4 linked regions of the Drosophila melanogaster genome follow. The protein of the gene in region 1 interacts with the protein of each later gene in a pairwise test. Each region holds a gene or a part of one and is shown on either strand. Other genes may lie near its edges.

Region 1 (4,452 bases):
AGTTACCAGCGAAGGTCCATTTGCATTCCTTAATTGAAATTCGTACGCGTGGGAAGACCACGCAGCCTGAAAGCTTTGAATCTCCCAAAGTTGGATGTTGCTCCATGTTTTTTTTTTTTTTTGGAAGAGATGATCTTCCATTTAACAGATTTCACTTCTCATATTCATATTCAATTATGCCACATAGTAGTTCAATCCAATTCAATTGCAGGCATATTGCCGGGCTCACTTGCTCCTGTGCCCGCTTAGGGCTGGCTAATCCTTCTGATAAATGGTCCGGGCTTTGGATGAGATGCAGTGGCTCGTTTTTTAGCGCGCGCAGAGATGTTGGAAATTTTTAGAAAGGCAAACACAAACAAGGCATTAAGTGGCATTAGACAAATGCCTTTCTACACATGTTCCAGCGTAGAGATTACGCCGTGTAATTGGCCCCACCTCCATTCGCCCGGGGTGGGTTCCGGTTTTCGATTGACATTTGGCCACGGCTGCGGGGTGGGCTACTGCTCTGCTCTGCTCTGCTCCTTCTACAATTTTTTTTTTTTTTTTTGTTCTTTCTTTTTATCAATTGCCTTGTTTGCGCTGGGACCATAAATAAGGGCATTACTCGCAGGGGGCGTGCGCGTTTTCCTAACAGGTGTCTATCGACTCCTGGCTAATCCCATGCCCATGCCCATGCCCAGCTCCCTGACATCGAGTTCCTTACTTACTCGTTCGTTGCAGTTCGAAGGCCGATTCCAGTCGAAGCGTCTCAACAACTGGGAATATCCGCGATTCTCACCACCCCGCCCACGTGGTCTGCAGAAGAACGCCAAGGTTGTGGCGGCCAATAACGGTCACCTGCTGCCCGAAGTGATAAAGTAAGCAATTGCCAATGCCCCACAATTATACAGTTTAATTTTAATCCACAGGGAGGGCAACTCATTTGGCCAATATCGTGGAACCTACGAGCTACCGCGTCGAATAACCCGTGCCTTTTGCGCCCACTACGATGCCTGTCTGAGTGGGCGGTACAAGTTTGTTGACTTTCCGCGTGACCTGTGCAATTGTCAGCGAGAGAACCGCAGGGCACTGGCCTGCGATCAGCGGTTGACCTTGGGCCACAAGGACGATCCCTACTGGATGCGCGAACGGTGCCAGACGAAGTGCGAGGGACTACAGAAGCTGAGGGCGTTGAGCGAGCGGAGTGCGCGCTGCAATCGGGCCAAGTGCGACGTGGTGGTGAGTGGGAATCGGGGTCACCATCGGGGTCACCATCGGTGTCACCTCTTACCAATTATGTGCACCCAGATTATTGAGTTATCTGCAACCAAGCTATACATATTTTCATTTCTGGTTGCACTTTTTGCACTTTCATCCTGCACCCTGCACACTCACATTCACATTCACCTGCAACCGTAGAGCGAGAAAACCGTGAAGATGACGCCGAAGGCAATCAAGACGACGGGTGTGGCCACCGAAAAGCGGCGTCGAAAGCGCACCATAACCGCCTTTTCCAAAGGACGAACGGCATTGCATCCCAATGAGCTGACCAAGCCGATTCCATCGTCGGAGAAACCGGCGGCGACTGTCGCCACTCCCAAGGACAAGCCGAAGGACAAGCCAAAGGACAAGGAGGCGGGCAAGAAGGATAAGACGAAGGATAAGGGCAAGGAGAAAGAGCGCAAGGCGGCGAAGGGCCATTAGTAAAACTTCATTATTTTGTTCAACCGAAATTCAAATCAAATTCATTGTAACCGCAGGTTTAAAATACATTTTAAAGGGCAGCACGATTGCACTCAACACAAATCATATAGCATATATATTTTATAACTAAACCCAGGTTAAACCATCTGTTACATATGTACATAAATCATACATCATTATCATCTCCATCTCCATCTCCATCTTATCTCATCCCATTCCATTCTGCACCACCAACGCATTGCAACAAGTGAACGAACCTGAAAGCCACCTACTCCATTACTCCATCCAATCATGTCGCAAACAGCTCTCCCGGAACTGAGCTACACGCCGGGCGACCTAACAGAGCCGCAGTTCCGGCTGCCCTCGCACCAGGAGCTCCTCGACCAGAAACGCAACAGCACGGACAGCGTGCCACTTGGTCGTCTCACCTTGGACACGCGCGACACGCAGCCCATCAAGTACAGGGAGCAGCTGGGCTCGGCGGCCGGTCGTCAATTTCCGGCATTGGCAGCGGCCCAAAATCGCTATACGGATCACTTGGAGCGCAGCAGCGAGTTGAGCTTTGCGTGCCTGGAGCCGGGCAAGGATCTAATCTCATTGCCGACGGTGGGTATACGAAGCTTTGATCTCGATCCCGTATCCGTATCCGAACCCGATTTGATCAAGAAGATGCCGCTGCACTCGATCACGGAGAAGCCCAACGAGCGGTGTCCATCGCCAGTGGTGCCGGCATATGCCAATTTCGAGCTGGCCAAACGGATGCACCAGGACAATTTGGACCACCAGCCGCTGCCCGATTGCGTCGCCGATTTGGCATTCCGGCGAGCGCAAATATCCGGCGGACATGCTGGCCTGGCCCTGGAAATCGATCCCATTGCCACGGGCGTGGGTGTGAAAACGCACAATGCTGGTCCGACGCACTGCACCAAGATGAAGGTCTTTCGTCCGAAGACCGGCGGTGGCATCGTGCCACGTGCCCTCGGCAATGGCGATGCCTTTCGAGGTGTTGGCTCCGCTCCGGCCAAAAAGATGGGACCCATGGATTTGGCCATTTGTTGGGACTTCAAGCCGGCGAATCCATCGGATGAGCCGCGCCTGGCCAGGCACATAGATGGCTCCAATGACTCCGCTGGACCGGCTGTCTTCACCTGCGTGAAAACGCCTCGCGAGGAACAGTCCTCGGACTTGGGCCGATCGGCTGGCGTCTTCACCAGCACGCTTGGTGAGGCCGATTTCTTCGACAAGGACATCCTGAGGAAGCGAACGGATTTTGGCGGTGCCCGTGTGGATCGCGAGGATCCGTGCGCCTGCGACTACTCGCCACCGGCCAGACAAAGAGCACGCAGTGTCTCCCGCGATTCCAGTGCATCGCATTGCAGGCGAGGATCGGGCATCGGCGGTCCAACTGGCGGTGTGAGTTTCGGCAATTTGGCGGAGCTACCCGGTCGCGGGATGCCCGATCGTCTAGCCAAGCAGTATCAATCGTCACCCCTGCTGGGCGACAAAGCCTACCAGGCTTTGAGGGAGAAATATTTGGGTCCGGACTCTGGACAGGATTGCAGGGCCATGGATTGCCGGCCAACGGGTGGTCCACCATGCAAGCGAGACGTTCTCCTCCGGCGTCCAGCTCGACGTCTCTGCCACAAGGTGGCTCCAGCTCCCAGATGCTGTCCCCCATCGTTCGGCGGACATGGTCATCACCATGGACATGGACACGGACACGGACATTGCTTGACCAGTAAGGCGGCATTTCGCGCCGGAGTGCCCAAGCATAATGCCTCCGGTGATTTCGTGGGAATAGAACCGGGCTGCGGAGGAGGTGGCGGTGGCGGTGGTAGGGTTCTGGTGGTGCCACGCCCCCGGCAGCCGTATGCCAAAAAGAATTACGACATCGAAACCCTGGTGCCGCCCTTCCAAAGCCAAGCGGGCGGAGCGGGTCAGGGCGGCTATCCAGAGCACTGGCGATTGGCCAGTGTCTATCAGCACGCCTACAAGCCCATCGACCAGCGGCGGCGACCCCTTCTCCAAACTGTCTACAAGTAGGTGTGCTCCAGGATGGCAGTCCGCTCAAGAGAGAAATGTCCGGACAAACGGGATAATGAATAATTGAAAGCTATACAAAAATGTCCATAAGCTAAGCAAGTATATTAACTTATCAACTTAAATGTTTGCTAGTCATTAGCATTAAATTGATGCATCTGTACACACAAATTAGTCGGAAAAATCGGTCCAAGAATAGGAAATCACACGTTTATGTATAAAAAAACAAATGTTATATATATTAGAAAGCATATATATATATATATATAAAGATATATGGGCAAACATACATACATACATATATGAATAAACGTGCAAACATCAAGTAACTTAAAACTATAAACAGTGTGCAAATTAATTTGCAGAGTTCGCTTGAAAAATTAAGAAAAAAAACTTGATTAAAAACTAGGTGATGATGTGGTTTTCAGATGAAATAAGGTTTCCTTTCCTTTTTTCGCTGGTCTTGTGTGACAATCTTTGGGTGCAATTAAAAACTTAACTAGGTGCTGAAAAATCGAATTGAAAAGAAGTCAATTGGGTCAATTCAACAAGGGGAAGGCGCATTTCAAAAATAATAACAAATAAATTTAAATGCTTTCGGTTACAGAAATGCCATTTGAAATCCCCTAAAAATCGACGCACCAATTGAATCTGTGGAGCCAACCTGCTCACTTGGCGGTTGCATAGGCATCGTGACTCTTGTGGAACACATGGCGCAGCACGTCCCGC
Region 2 (3,966 bases), 4.6 Mb from region 1:
TGCGTCGGCGTCGGCGTTATCGATTACCGACCGTTAGTTAACCCACTAATGACCGAGATACACGCTGTGTAGTTTGGGTTAAGTTCATTAGAGGGGCTGATGCAATTTTGCAGTTATAACTATGACTTCATACTTTGCTTTTTAGCAAGTCCAGAGATCAGCTGGGAATATATATTGTACATATATACTAAATTATTTTAGAATCAAGTTCACTGACCCCAAACGGTTATTTCGGAAGTTTAGGAACAAATGTAAATTTTGTTTTAACTTCATTTTATAGTGTAACATAAAAAATCATCGCCCAAAACCGGCTGGGGTTAAGGGCCGCTTAGAACTTTCAGATTCCAAAAACCATAGATTATTCAGCCTACTTATTAGAAGTTGTTGACTGCGTCCCAAAAAAATCTAGATATTAGAATGCTTTCGGCTGGTAAGTCAATTAGTCCGTCGTCTAATAGGCTTTGCGGCTTAATGGAACGCTTTTTGCCTCATTGTGTTACCCCTTTTCTTTGCGTATACGTAATATGAGTGCTGGAAATATCCGGCATACCCCGATGCTACCCCCTCTTTCGACCAACAAACTGACCATGAATATTTTCGCTTTTGTTTGCCGACCATATAAACACGTTTTCGATTGTTTCGCCGTTTTCTTTTCTTTCCATTTATTGCCTTTTTAACTGGGTTGGATTTTGCATTCCCCGATTTTCTGCTTAATTTTCACGCCAAATGAAAAGCGTGAGAACCGCGAACATACATAATATTCATTAGCGAATTATAGATTGGGTTTGGTTTTCAGTTCTAAATTTTCAGACTTCGCAAATTAAATGCGAATAAATAAATATTTAAGCAATCAATCCAGATGCCACTTGCATATTAATTGTATTGTTTTTCGTTGTATTTTGTTTGCCATCTGAGAGAGAAAGAGAGATTTCCAAGTGGCCTACAATCGCGATGATAATGATACTGAAAATGATGATCGTGATAATGATGTCGCAGAGCAACTTTCTCAGTTTATTTTTTTTCCCCCTATTAGCATCACAATTAAATGTTTTTTATTAATTTCGTAGCGCGAAACTGAAAATTAGTATTGGCGATATGCGCCGATATTATATAAGTGAGAATATCGATTAGGTATGAATGAACACGGTAATTTCCCCGATAATTTCGATAGCTGCGAACAGATCAGGTCGCTTTCATTATTCAATTTGTATTAACTTTCGTTCGTTGTTGTCGTCTGGCTGGCGGCTAGAAAAATGTATGCATCGCATTTCAATAATAATGAAAACAAAAGTTAAAACAAATAAAACAACCGCTAGTTTCGGTGCGATGGAGAAAGGGCGAGGAGGGGGGCTAGTGTGGATAGAGCGGGATAGTGAGATTCCGTCGAACGGTGATTGCAAGAAAATGACATTTTACAGTTGCCCCCAAACACCCTACACTCACCTGCGTTTTGGAGCATCTCGGTTTTATGACACCGTTGGCAGCGCTCCATCGAAAAACCTAGAACTACAAAGTATTACTCATACATTCGCGAATTAATAATCCTTTTTATATCATACATTATGATATCCTTATTATATAAGGCATTATTGTTAATAATTATATAAAAATATGGAATATTATGATCACTCTTTTCTTTAGGATATCAGTACTAGGGTCCAGTGCAGAGACGTCAGAAACTGATAAAAATTCGAAGATATTTATTAATTTTTTTTAGAAAGAAACGCATGATGCAGAGTGGGAGATTCCACGCTGCGTAACAGAATGGAAACTTTATATTAATTTTATCAATTTACAAGAACTCATGCAGATAGCTTGTATGCAAGTTCTTTAAAGATTAACAAATTAATCGGAGAATAAAAATATTAGTAACATAATGAATAAGGTAATAATGGCAAAAAGAAATCCATTATTAATTTGCTAAAAGAAAGGTATACACGCACAAAGGGCATTTGAAGGTCGGCGCAGGGCAAGGTGTCATCCATTTCACCCGAGGGCTCCGTAGGTCAAGATGCTTGTCGTCGCCAGCATTGGCTGTTGTATATAAATTTTGACAAAAGAAAGACTTCGGTTTAAACCAATTTTGGCAAGGCGGCGACCATAAGGTGATGACCACTCGACGCGACGACATGGCATGGATTAGCGGCCGTTCCCACCTGCTGGTGCCTGTGATCTTGGTGCTGTTAATACCGTTGGTCGCGGGCTTCGGCAACGAGTATGTCCACATCAAGGTGCATGTGCCCAAAGAGGAGTCAGCGGCGGAGGAGTCGCCACACAAGGTGATCCACCACTACCACCACCATCCGCATCCGCATCAGTTATACCGCAATCGGGGACGAGCCCGTCCCAAGCCCAGTCCACTGCTGGAGAGCGTAATCCTCTCGGATCTGGACAAGCCGCTGCACATGAGCGAGCATGCGGACTATCTGAATCACGCCAAGGAGCTGGCCGACCACCTCACGGAGACGTATGCCAAAAAGGCAGCTCCTCCGCCGCCGCCGCCGCCCAAGAAGAAGGTCAACACTTATACGATCATTGAGGAGCAGCACAGACCACATGGCTACGACTACGAGGATCACCATGAGCCCAGTGTGGAGACTTATCGAGTGATTGAATCGCGACCCAAGCAGCAGCACCATCATCACACTCATACTCACCATCCGGTTGAGGAGGAGGAGGTGGACGACGATTATGGATATCACTATCCGAGCGGGGGAAATCATCATCATCATCATCATCATCAGACTGGCGCCTATGCGGAACCCGCACCAGTGGAGGAGCACATCGACCAGGAGCCGGATACGGGCTATAAGTATTCGCCACACAGTCACGCCTACATCCCGCCCAGCCACGGTCAGGCCCAGCGGAGCTCCAAGCAAACCAGAGCGCCAGCGTACACTCTCGAAGCTCCGCAGGAATCCTCCTTCGGATACGATTACTCGCGACCCTCGGCCGGAAGTAGCACTGACTTCCGGCCATCCGTCCAGGTGCCATCCAGTGACCCGTACGGCGAGGAGGAACCGGCGGACACCTATGGACCACCGCTTACGGCCACAAGGCGTCGCCGGCCATCGCAATCCCTGGTGGATTGGCCCGAGTCCAAGGGATTCAACAGTGCCGCGTCCGAAACATACAGTGGCGTCGATAGCTACAACGTGGGTCATGTTCAGGGCTATGGATCCAGTAGCTATCACCAGTACAGTGGTGGGCCCTATCTGTAGGCGTTCCAACACCCCGTCTAATCTAAGATCTATTTATTGCACTTTTTTTTTCCTAGCTTCGTAAGTCGATAGTCAGTTTTCAGATTTAAGCGATAAATAAATAAATGTTTGTAAACACTTAAAGAAATGTTATTCAATTTCTAGGAATCAAGTTGTTAGAAGTAATAAACAAAAGGTTAACTTATTTGTTTATTTATTTATTTGTTTCAACTCAATCCTAGCAGTTGGAAAGCACCAAGACCACTTGAAAATTATAATGTAATAAAAACGCAAATTTGAATAGTTGAAGTAATAAAAAAAAGAGACTGTCTAATTAGTATGCATATTATGATCTTGAATTCTCAAATTAGTTTATTTAAACACTAAAATCTAATATTCTAATGGTGCAAGAGTAAAATGCACTCATTTTTGTTATTGACTTCAACTTTGGATACCAACCGGTTCACTTGGCAATGGGAATTTAAGTATACTACTTAGTGCAATTATCCTAAGTCTTGATTCTATCTATAAAACGTATAATATATTTACATTCTGATTATTTATTATTATTTCAAATACGGAAATCGTGTTTGGTACATTCATACATGGACTACTGTTCTCAGTGTTTTTGAGGAAGTCAGTTAGGCTAATGGATTTCTCAGTTGTTTGTTGGCCCATTTAAAGGGAGATCCGCCGCAAGGATAAGGCCTGTCCATCCATAAGGGTTTCACTTCCGAGCAGTCAACGATGAGCGGCCATCTGGGTC
Region 3 (4,488 bases), on another chromosome or scaffold:
ATGTATTTCATTCAGTCCCAAAACAGGAAAAACAGAAGGATTTCTACACAACATACCTAAGGGAAACAAACCTTTTGAAATAATCCATATTGACCATTATGGTCCAGTAGACTTGGCTAGACCGAAGAAACATATTCTAGTGATAGTAGATGCATTCACAAAGTTTGTCAGACTATACGCAACAAAAACTACGAACACAAAAGAAGTCATACAATCGTTAAATGACTACTTCAGAGCATACAGTAGGCCTAAGTGTATCATATCAGATAGAGGAGCATGTTTCACGTCTGGCGATTTTGACTCATTTTTGAAAGAATGCAATGTTAAACACATAAAAATTGCAACAGGATCGCCACAAGCCAACGGTCAAGTTGAACGTATAAACCGAAGTCTTGGTCCAATGATTAGCAAGTTAATTGAACCTGATCAAGGTCTACACTGGGACTTAGTCTTAGAAAAGGTCGAATATACCCTGAACAATACACTACACCGCAGCATTAAACAGTATCCTAGCATAATGTTATTTGGGTTACAACAAAAAGGACAAATTATGGATGAGTTAAAAGAAAAAATTGAGGAAATTGGAGAAACGATTGAAGAAAGAGATTTAGAAAGTATTAGAAATAAAGGCGAGGCAAGTCAGAAAATAGCACAAGCATACAATAAAGAATATGTTGACAAAAAACGAAAACGATCAGGAGTGTTCACAAAAGGCGACTACGTCATGGTTAAAAATTTTGACTCAACAACAGGCATAGCTAAGAAGTTAATTCCAAAGCATAAAGGACCCTATGTCATAAGCAAAGTTCTCAAAAATGATCGCTTCCTTCTGGAAGATGTTGATGGATTTCAAATTTCTCGCAATCCTTACCGGGGTGTATGGAGCATACAGAATATAAAACACTGGCAAAGAAAAATTAAGAGTCTACAAAATAGAAAGTATAATTTGAGAAACTCTGTACAAAATAGAAAGTATAATTTGAGAAACTCTGTACAAAATAGAAAGTATAATTTAAGAAACTCTGTACGAAATCGAAAGTATAATTTAAGAAGCAATTGTAAAACAAAGAAAACAAACAAGAAGAAAAGAAAACCAAAAAAATGTTTAAGACCGTTCAAAAGTATCTCCACTAAGAAGAATAAAATAAGAAACAGGACCCTTAGCTTTAAGAAACGTTAATTGTTATAAAATCCTACGATCGGGAGATCTAGTAGTCAGGACGGCCGAGTTGTAGTAGGCTGCTCCTTCTACCCTCTTCCTTTACTCTTAGTCATACATACCTAATTATACATAGCCAATCTAGTCATAAGCTTATACACTCATACACCCATCCTTAACATACAAATATTATCGAGAAACTTATCGACTAATCGACTCGCCACTCTGCAGAGAGCGCGGCAGTCAGTCGCTGTTGAACCAAGCTAAAGGACAGATCAAAAATAAAAGAGACACGTGAAATTGTATTAGAATATTAACTTCTGTAAACGGCGGCTAAAGTATAGTATAGTATATTCTAGTATGGTATCGTATAATATAGCATAGTTATAGGTAACAAAATGATACAAAAAAATAATAATAATATTCAAAGAGACATGACGAAGAGCTCAGTTGACGCAGAAATCGTTCAGCAATTCATTTATTGGTCCGAACTCCGAATTAAGATATTCGATGAGATTGGGAGTTCGGTCTGTAGATGACTATTCCAGCGTTTCTCAGATGTTCGAGAACCGTCAATGGCGCTGAGATCTTGGAGATCTTGGCGTGACATATGCAATTCCCTTATCAATCCGATGCGATACCACCGCCACCACAGGAGTCTGTTCTTCTGCGAAATAGGCAATTCCGATGTTATTGCCGTGTAATTTACATGCGGCCCCGCTATCGTACATCAGTAAATCAAAAATCGAAGAACGAAAAATCAGCGCTATCTTGGAGTTCTGATTGAGATAGCGTGTGCATTTTGGAAATTGTTTTTCGCCGAACAAAACCGAGCAGAATGGCCTTTGCATATTTAAGAGCTCCAGCCTCCGAAGGTGCAGTATCATTTGAGTTGTGAGTGCCGCCAAGATCGCAGCGGGGCGTTCGAGAAACCAGGATACAAGTTAACCAAAGGATATAAAACATGAATAGAGGTAAACTAAAGTGGGACGCCAGCTGAACATTGACAGTGATGGATTTCGTTTGAAAGAATTGCTCTTTAAAAATGTACATATAAATTAAATTCAAACATTAAGTTTTTAAGTTGATAGGGCTTTCTGGCAGAAGGGTAATTTTCGTACCAGCTATCGTAGTTTAAATTTAAAAATTGACTCACATGTTTGGGGTTAATAAATGGTAAAGCACACTGGATATGCCATCCTGTTCCTGACACAATGTTCCCACGATTTTCGATTTTACTTGCAGCTAGCGGTGTCCTGTCGCTGCTGTTTGTGGCCAGCGCCCTGGGCGGCGTGATCGAGGACTTTGAATACCTATCGGTGGCCGAGATGTGCGACCTGCTGCCGCAGGAGACAAGCTTCCTGCGACCGAATACCTGCGACAACTGGGTGCGGTGCGCCAGCAACTACAGCGTGCTGGAGCAGGGCGGCTGTGCCGCAGGACTCAACTACAACAAGGAGCTAGGCCGCTGCATCCTGGCATCCTCCAGCGCCGCGGTGTGTCCCTATGCCGACAGCATTGCGGACAAGGCCACGAACCTGTGCGCCAACGAAACGGAAGGCGCCTTCATCGTGGATCCCAGCAGCAGCGATTGTCGCGGCTACATCTTGTGCAAGTCGCACAAGCAGATCAAGGCCAACTGTCCCAACGAGCTGATCTTCCATCCCGTATCGAGGTCTTGCGTGTACGAAAAGCAGTACCGTTGCCCCATCAGCCAGACGAAGAAGACCAGTCCCGCCTGCCGATCCCTGCCGAACAACACCCGTCTGGCCGATCCCGTCCACTGTGACCAGTACTACGAGTGCGTCAGCGAGGTCTTGCACAGCCGAGCCTGTCCAGTGGCCAGTGCCTACGATGCTAATCTCGGCTACTGCGTGGATGTGGCTGAGGTGTCCTGCTACGAGAGTGCCGCCCTGCCGGAACCGGAAAACACCTTCTGCCTGGACAGTGCCACCGGATCCGCTCGCGTTGGCTACTTTGCCGACGACGAGTCCTGCTCCCACTACTATATCTGTGGCAGCCCCGTCGCCGGCAAGCACGACACGGAGCCCAAGCACCTGAGCTGTCCACTTGGCCAGTACTTCGACTTCGAGAAGCTCTCGTGCCGCGACAGACTTAACGTACGCTGCCAGCTGGACAGGTGTGTGGGCACCAACATCACCTACGTAAACGTCGCCGGCGATTGCCAGAGCTATGGACGTTGCTCCGGCGGAGTGACCGTCAGCCTGGGCCAGTGCCCAACGGGCTACTACTTCGACGAGCGCAACCAGGGATGCACACAGACCAACTACCACAACATCGCATGTTCCGTGTAGGCTGTCCCAGAAGATCGCATCCTTACCACAATCCTTACCAAATCGCATCCAATTTAAATATCCAATAAATCGATCCAATTCATGGTGGAGGTCAAATGCATTGCTTGAAAGGAATTCATGTACTTTGTGGTGGGAAGTGTTAAGTTTTATGACATTCATCCATTTACTTTTTACCATGGAAATGGGTCTACAAATATTAGCTTCTCGAAAAATGTCCAATAAATGTGTTACTCCATTGAAACCTGAAATGTATATATATATAGTTTATCCATTGCATTTGGCTCTATTGTAGTTTTATTCCCTTTCCATTCGAATTTTACCGTCTGCTTCCTCTTTATAGAAGATGTTACCCTAACCTTGAACAATAAAATATGAATTGGTATAAATAATGCTAGAGAAATACTATGATTTTTTGGACTGATTTTTGAACTACATTGGCGGAAATGTTCATTAGCGAAACGAAGTTGGCGTGATAAAATTCTTCTGGCAACCCTTTTGATATCAAAACTGCGCCACACAACGATTCATATTTGGCAATCTGTTTTCGTGACACTTGCAGTGCCCAAAAAATTATCAGTTTTAATTAAAATTGTACCCCAGTGGAGGGTTCGGAGAATTTCAAACCGATTCCAGATAGTCCAGATAATGAATTCGCTACTCGGAGCTGCCGCGATCGCTTATTTCCGTGTTGGCCATCAGGCGAGCAAGAAGTATCCAACGCCCAAGGGTCGTTTTTGTCTATCACTAATTAAATTCAACTATTAGGGTCGATGTTACCCATTAGGTCCACAAATATTGTATGAGTGTGAAATGCAAATGAAATGCATCGACGCGCTTTCGTTCTCCATAGAAATCAATTATGTCCACTTTAAGAAGGAAGTTATACAAGTCCACAGGGCGGATGATTGATTTGTATGTAGGAAAGGTCAAGTATTCAAATGACAAACGGGGCAACTTTGCAGCCTCGCTATAATGTATTAGTATTTATTGATCATAACAAATAACGATAACAAA
Region 4 (5,175 bases), on another chromosome or scaffold:
GTCTACAGCTTTTTCAATCTAATAGAAGTTAGGATTACAGATATTAAGCATTGGCTTTAACAAATGGCTAATAAATCTAATACCGATGAGCTTACCTCCTTTTGGCTTGTGTCCTCCCAGGAATGCTCAAGGATACTCTTCACCTTGACCACCCGCATGGCTTCCCCCGTTGTAAAAGTCAAATATTCCACTACACATCCGACGTGTAGATCCAAGATGATATCCTCTGCCACCTTCGTTTCGAATAAAACGTCTTTGTCGATGACTCCCCGATCGCCGTCTAGACTGGTGATCACTCCCTTTCTGGCGGTGCAGGAACTTTCTTTACTCACGTCCATTTCCGAAAGTCCATGCGTAAGCTCAGCGATCTTGTTACTTAAAACCCCATTAATTTCGTTTGGATTCGCCTTAAGCTGTTGATCCATCTTCTCCTCCATTAGTTTTTGGTCTAAAAAGCTATTCTCCCGATCCAAACTTTCCAGAATATCCTCCCGGTTACGATCCGGGTTCGTGAAAAACTTGCTAACGTATGTGAACATTTTTGAAAATGTTTCGCCGATAAATGCTCTGCCGTTCCTACTGCGCTGCTTTCTTGTCGAGACTCTCGTACATCCAGTCGGTTTCGCTGAGATAGCTCAATTCCTTGCGCAGATTCTGCAGACGCTTCAAGTGGTTCTCCGTCGTCTCCGCCGCCTTCCCGCCCTCGGTGGTTTCGCTCTGCGATTCCGCCTTGTCAGCTCCGATCTCGGGTTTCTTAGCCTGGAAATGTGGACCATCTGTATTGTAAACATTTGAGAACATACAATGTTACCTTCTATGACACCGAAGGCTTAAATATCCTACAATTTTCATTTAACAACATTTTGTTGTTTTACTTCTACGGACAATTTTTGAAATATTTAGAGAATATTTATTTATAAATTTAAATGTATTTATAAGAGCATATATAAAATAAAAAAATTAACATTTGTATACATTTTCTGTATGTTTTGTAACGGAAAATTAAAAACTTTGTGTTAGGGTTCTTGAATTCAATAGTGATTTGTTTTTTAGTCTAGGCTGTTAAAATAACTGCAAAAAAGCAACAGTTTGAATGGAGAAAAAGCAAACGAAAGTCTCAAGAAAAGCGACAGCAACAGTTACTCCTGCACTGCTTTCGTCTCCTTCTACCACGCCAAAACAAGGATGGCAACAACAACAAACTCATACCTCTGTTTCACTGGATTCAACGGGAATATTGGTGGCCGTACCGCTTGTAGATGCTTCTTCTTTGATGGTTATACTTCCGGATGCTTCGCTGGACATTGTCCAATCACGCGGATTTACCTTGGTTATCAAGCTGTGGACCAAATATGTGAGTTCCTTACCGGCTTTTTGCAAATGCACAGCCGGATTTGCTATTTGTACTCGTACTTACAAATATTCTTAACGCTGTTGAATTAGTAGATGCACTGCACTTTGAGTTTTAAGAGTTCAATGGGAAATAGTCATAGTATTCGAAAAAACTCTCGAGCAAAATTTTGAGCACAAAGCGTCTTGGCGAACTTTTAAGTGTGACCGGACTTAGCGGCGTAGAAAATATCCTTGGCTGTGGTATTTTCTTAAAGTGTGTCAAATTAAAGCGGTGGAATATGAAACGTGAGGAAGTTGCTTATGTATTTATATTTTCCTTATTTAAAAAAAGTTCTCAAAAATAAAATGAAACAAAAATGTAAAGTAAAGAACTCAAGAAAGTATATAAAATATCGGCAGTCCACATTTAAGTTTTTGTTTTTGGAATTTACCTCCTCACAAAAATAATACACACGAAGAACTTGTTCTTATTCTTTTATCTTTTTTTCAAGAGTACCTGTTAGTTATCTGTCACTTACATTTAAGAAATAAGCAATCAAATTCCAAAATATGCCAAATATCTTTCCGCAATCCGGAAAGTTTTTCGAGTATATGTGTAAAAAAGTCCATAGATGGTTTCTTTCTCCATAAATACCCTAGTGATCGATATTATTTAAGAGTATGTTCAATACTTTTCGCAGTTGAAATAATTTACCAATTAGGAAAACCAATAAAACCAACTGCCCTATGTCTGATGAGTAAGAAACTGAGCACCAGAGGCGATAAATGGTTCCCGTAAACAGCGCACGCCAGCGCCGAGGCCGCGATTCTATTGAAAAAGGTGTATATATATTTAATATATCTTTATGTACAACTATAGACTCAAAACAAAAATACCCCGCTCAACTGGATATTACAGGGTATAATCGATAACCTTAGCTCAGCCATTGTGATTTTCAGCAATCCACTCGCACGGTCACACTGCCTGTCCAACCCTCCCGCACCGTACTACTCGACAACGTGCTTGTGTGCAGAATTTCCTCGGCTAAATAAAACCAAAAATTGGCAAAGCGCCGTGTCAGATCTAGCCGTCGATTGCACAATTCCGGAGCAGGACGTCGTCGCTGGAGCCACCGAAGCGGAGTCACCATCAGAAGATCACCAGCACCAGGAGAACCCAGTGGACAGTCCTCCTCTTTTTCTTGGCTGCCGAGGCGTCGCGTGTGCGTATCTTTCAGCGGTGAATAACCCACGGCTTTTTGTTTTCGGCCAGAGGAGGAGCGTGTTGCAGTCGCAAACGGGAAGATGGTTAAAGCTAAAAAGGGCAAGAAAGAGATACTGACCAAGGTCGAAGGCGGTTCCTCGGTGGACGAAATGTGAGTCTTGTGCAAGTTCATGCCCACCTGCCAACTTGGCAAACTTTCTATCGCAAATTATTCAATCTTACAGCTCCGATGTGGACAGCGACCAGTTGAGCCTCAACAACAAGCAGAATCATGCCCTGAAGGGCAATCAAGCTGGCGATGACGATGTTAAAGCCGTGACCAAGGGGGTCAAGAAGCTTAATGTCAAGGGAAAAGGCAAAGCAGGCAAAAATGACGACTCCGATGAGGAGGAGGTGGTGCCCGCCAAGGGCAAAGCTTCTAAGAAGTCGGCTTTTGAGCTGCTAATGGACGACGACGAGCAGGACGAGCCAGCTGCCCAGGAAAGCCAGTCTGAGAAGGAGGAAAAGGTAGTGGTCTCCAAGCCACAGAAGAACGAAAAGAAGGGCAAAAAGGCCAAACGCAAGGGGAAGGACGACGACGATGAAGATCTGGACAAGGTTTTAGCTGAGCTTCAAGCGGAATACGCCGGCGAGGCTGCTCCTGCTGCCACTACTGTTGTTTCCCCCGAAGAATTGGCCGATGAGTTCTCCAAGAAAAAAAAGAACAAGAAGCAGGCCAAGCAGGCTGCAGTGGCAGAAAACGCCGGAGAGGATGAGGCCAGCGATGACGAGGAGGGCGGCAGCACTGTGAAGTCGGCAGCCCAGAAAAAGAAGGAAAAGAAGGAGCGCCAAAAGAGGGAGGCTGCCCTAGCCAAGCAAAAGGCAGCTACTGAACCCAAACCGAAGCCCGTGGAGAAACCTGCGCCAGAACCCGAGCCTGTGGCTACGGAAGAAGTCCAGCCCGCCGCCGAGGAAGAGGAGGAAAAGTCCAGCAAAAACAAGAAGAAGGGCAAGAAAGACAAAAAGGCCGAGCCTGAGGAGGAGAAGAAGGACGCCAAGAAGAAGGGTATGTCTGCCTCCATGGTGGCGGCCATGCAGGAGCAGCTAAGAAAGCGAAAGGAGGAGGAGGAGCGCCTGGAGCGGGAGGAGGCAGAGCGAATTCGCCTGGAGGATGAGCGCGAAGAAGCCCGCCTGGAGGCAGTGCGTCTGGAGGCAGAGAGGAAGGAGAAAAAGAAGCAGCGCGAGGCAGAGCGCAAGGCTCGCTTGAAGGCGGAAGGAAAACTGCTCACCAAGAAGCAGAAGGAGGATAGGGCTAGGGCACAGGCTCTCCTGGAGTCTCTAAAGGCTCAGGGTCTCGAGATTCCCGATCCGAACGACAAGCGACCCACGCGGCCAGGTATGTAAATGGCTTTCTTCCTAAATTTGTATGCCACGACCTCAGTTTTGTATTGCCTTGTAACATTATTAGCTTATTATCTCAACTAACTGATTCATGTCTTTCAGGAACTCGTATCCGTCCGAACAAAAAGAAGGGCCCTAAGGAAGAGGCCGCCGAAGAGGAGGCCAAGGCAGCGGAAGCGGAAGCCCAATCGGCCGCCGCTGCTGCCGCTGCAGCTGCTGCCGAAAAGGCCGAGGAAGAGAGGGTCAAGGAGAGTTGGGATGCCACCGATAGTGAGGCTGAGCCAGAGCCCGAGGAAGAAACGTCGCAGGCCACTAACAATGGCAAGACCGAGGCTGCCGAGGAAGAGAACGAAGATACAGATGACGATGAAGATGACGACGATGATGAAGATGACAGCGATGACTCCGATGGGGATAGTGACGATTCCCGTGAAGTATCGGTGTTGGCCAATGATCCAGAGTCACGACGACTGCGTGCGGAAGCCAGAATCCTAAAACGGCAAGCAGAGGCGGAAAAGAAGCGCTCCACCGACGAACTCAGAGCTGGAGTGGTTTGCGTGCTGGGTCATGTAGATACAGGAAAAACCAAGATCCTGGACAAACTGCGGCGCACACACGTTCAGGATTCCGAAGCGGGTGGCATCACTCAGCAGATTGGAGCCACAAACGTTCCCATCGAAGCAATTAAGGAGCAGACTAAGTACGTAAAGGCGGCCGCTGGATTTGAACATCGCTTGCCTGGTCTATTGATCATCGACACACCCGGCCACGAGTCCTTCAGCAACCTTAGGAACCGAGGATCATCCCTCTGCGACATAGCCATCCTGGTGGTGGACATTATGCACGGCTTGGAGCCACAAACCATCGAGTCCATTCAGCTGCTCAAGAAGAAGAAATGTCCGTTCATTGTGGCCCTGAACAAGATCGATCGTTTGTACGATTGGAAGCAGTTGGCCAGACGGGATGTGAGGGATGTTCTCAAGGAGCAGCAGAGCAACACACAGCTGGAGTTTCAGCAGCGCACAAAGGACGTGATCCTGCAGTTCGCCGAGCAGGGCTTGAATGCTGCTCTATTCTACGAAAACACCGATCCGAAGACATACATTTCCCTGGTGCCCACCAGTGCCATTTCGGGCGAGGGTATGGGCAACCTGCTCTTTATGATCGCCGACTTCTGTCAGAATATGCTGGCCAAGCGCCTGATGTACTCCGAGGAACTGCAGGCCACCGTGTTGGAG

The links.
Region 2: the proteins of CG3081 (region 1) and CG15370 interact in a two-hybrid assay, tested with the Drosophila melanogaster proteins (one large-scale study listed by BioGRID).
Region 3: the proteins of CG3081 (region 1) and CG7017 interact in a two-hybrid assay, tested with the Drosophila melanogaster proteins (one large-scale study listed by BioGRID).
Region 4: the proteins of CG3081 (region 1) and eIF5B interact in a two-hybrid assay, tested with the Drosophila melanogaster proteins (one large-scale study listed by BioGRID).

What each region holds. Positions count from the first base shown.
Region 1 is NC_004354.4:4,638,599-4,643,050, reverse strand, and holds CG3081 (uncharacterized protein), read left to right. Parts: upstream 1-1,888; 5' UTR 1,889-1,974; coding exon 1,975-3,726; 3' UTR 3,727-3,792; downstream 3,793-4,452. Other genes in the region: CG3062 (uncharacterized protein), read left to right, coding at 721-857, 909-1,218, 1,399-1,683; pon (partner of numb), read right to left, coding at 4,392-4,452.
Region 2 is NC_004354.4:9,223,348-9,227,313, forward strand, and holds CG15370 (uncharacterized protein), read left to right. Parts: upstream 1-2,089; 5' UTR 2,090-2,108; coding exon 2,109-3,221; 3' UTR 3,222-3,341; downstream 3,342-3,966. Other genes in the region: Gr8a (gustatory receptor 8a), read left to right, coding at 3,948-3,966.
Region 3 is NT_037436.4:20,209,669-20,214,156, reverse strand, and holds CG7017 (uncharacterized protein), read left to right. Parts: upstream 1-2,034; 5' UTR 2,035-2,123; coding exon 2,124-2,133; intron 2,134-2,404; coding exon 2,405-3,474; 3' UTR 3,475-3,865; downstream 3,866-4,488.
Region 4 is NT_037436.4:3,457,705-3,462,879, reverse strand, and holds the start of eIF5B (eukaryotic translation initiation factor 5B), read left to right. Parts: upstream 1-1,902; 5' UTR 1,903-2,173; intron 2,174-2,251; 5' UTR 2,252-2,637; coding exon 2,638-2,708; intron 2,709-2,781; coding exon 2,782-3,932; intron 3,933-4,039; coding exon 4,040-5,175. Other genes in the region: armi (armitage), read right to left, coding at 1-18, 96-539; CG46463 (uncharacterized protein), read right to left, coding at 577-759, 1,210-1,305.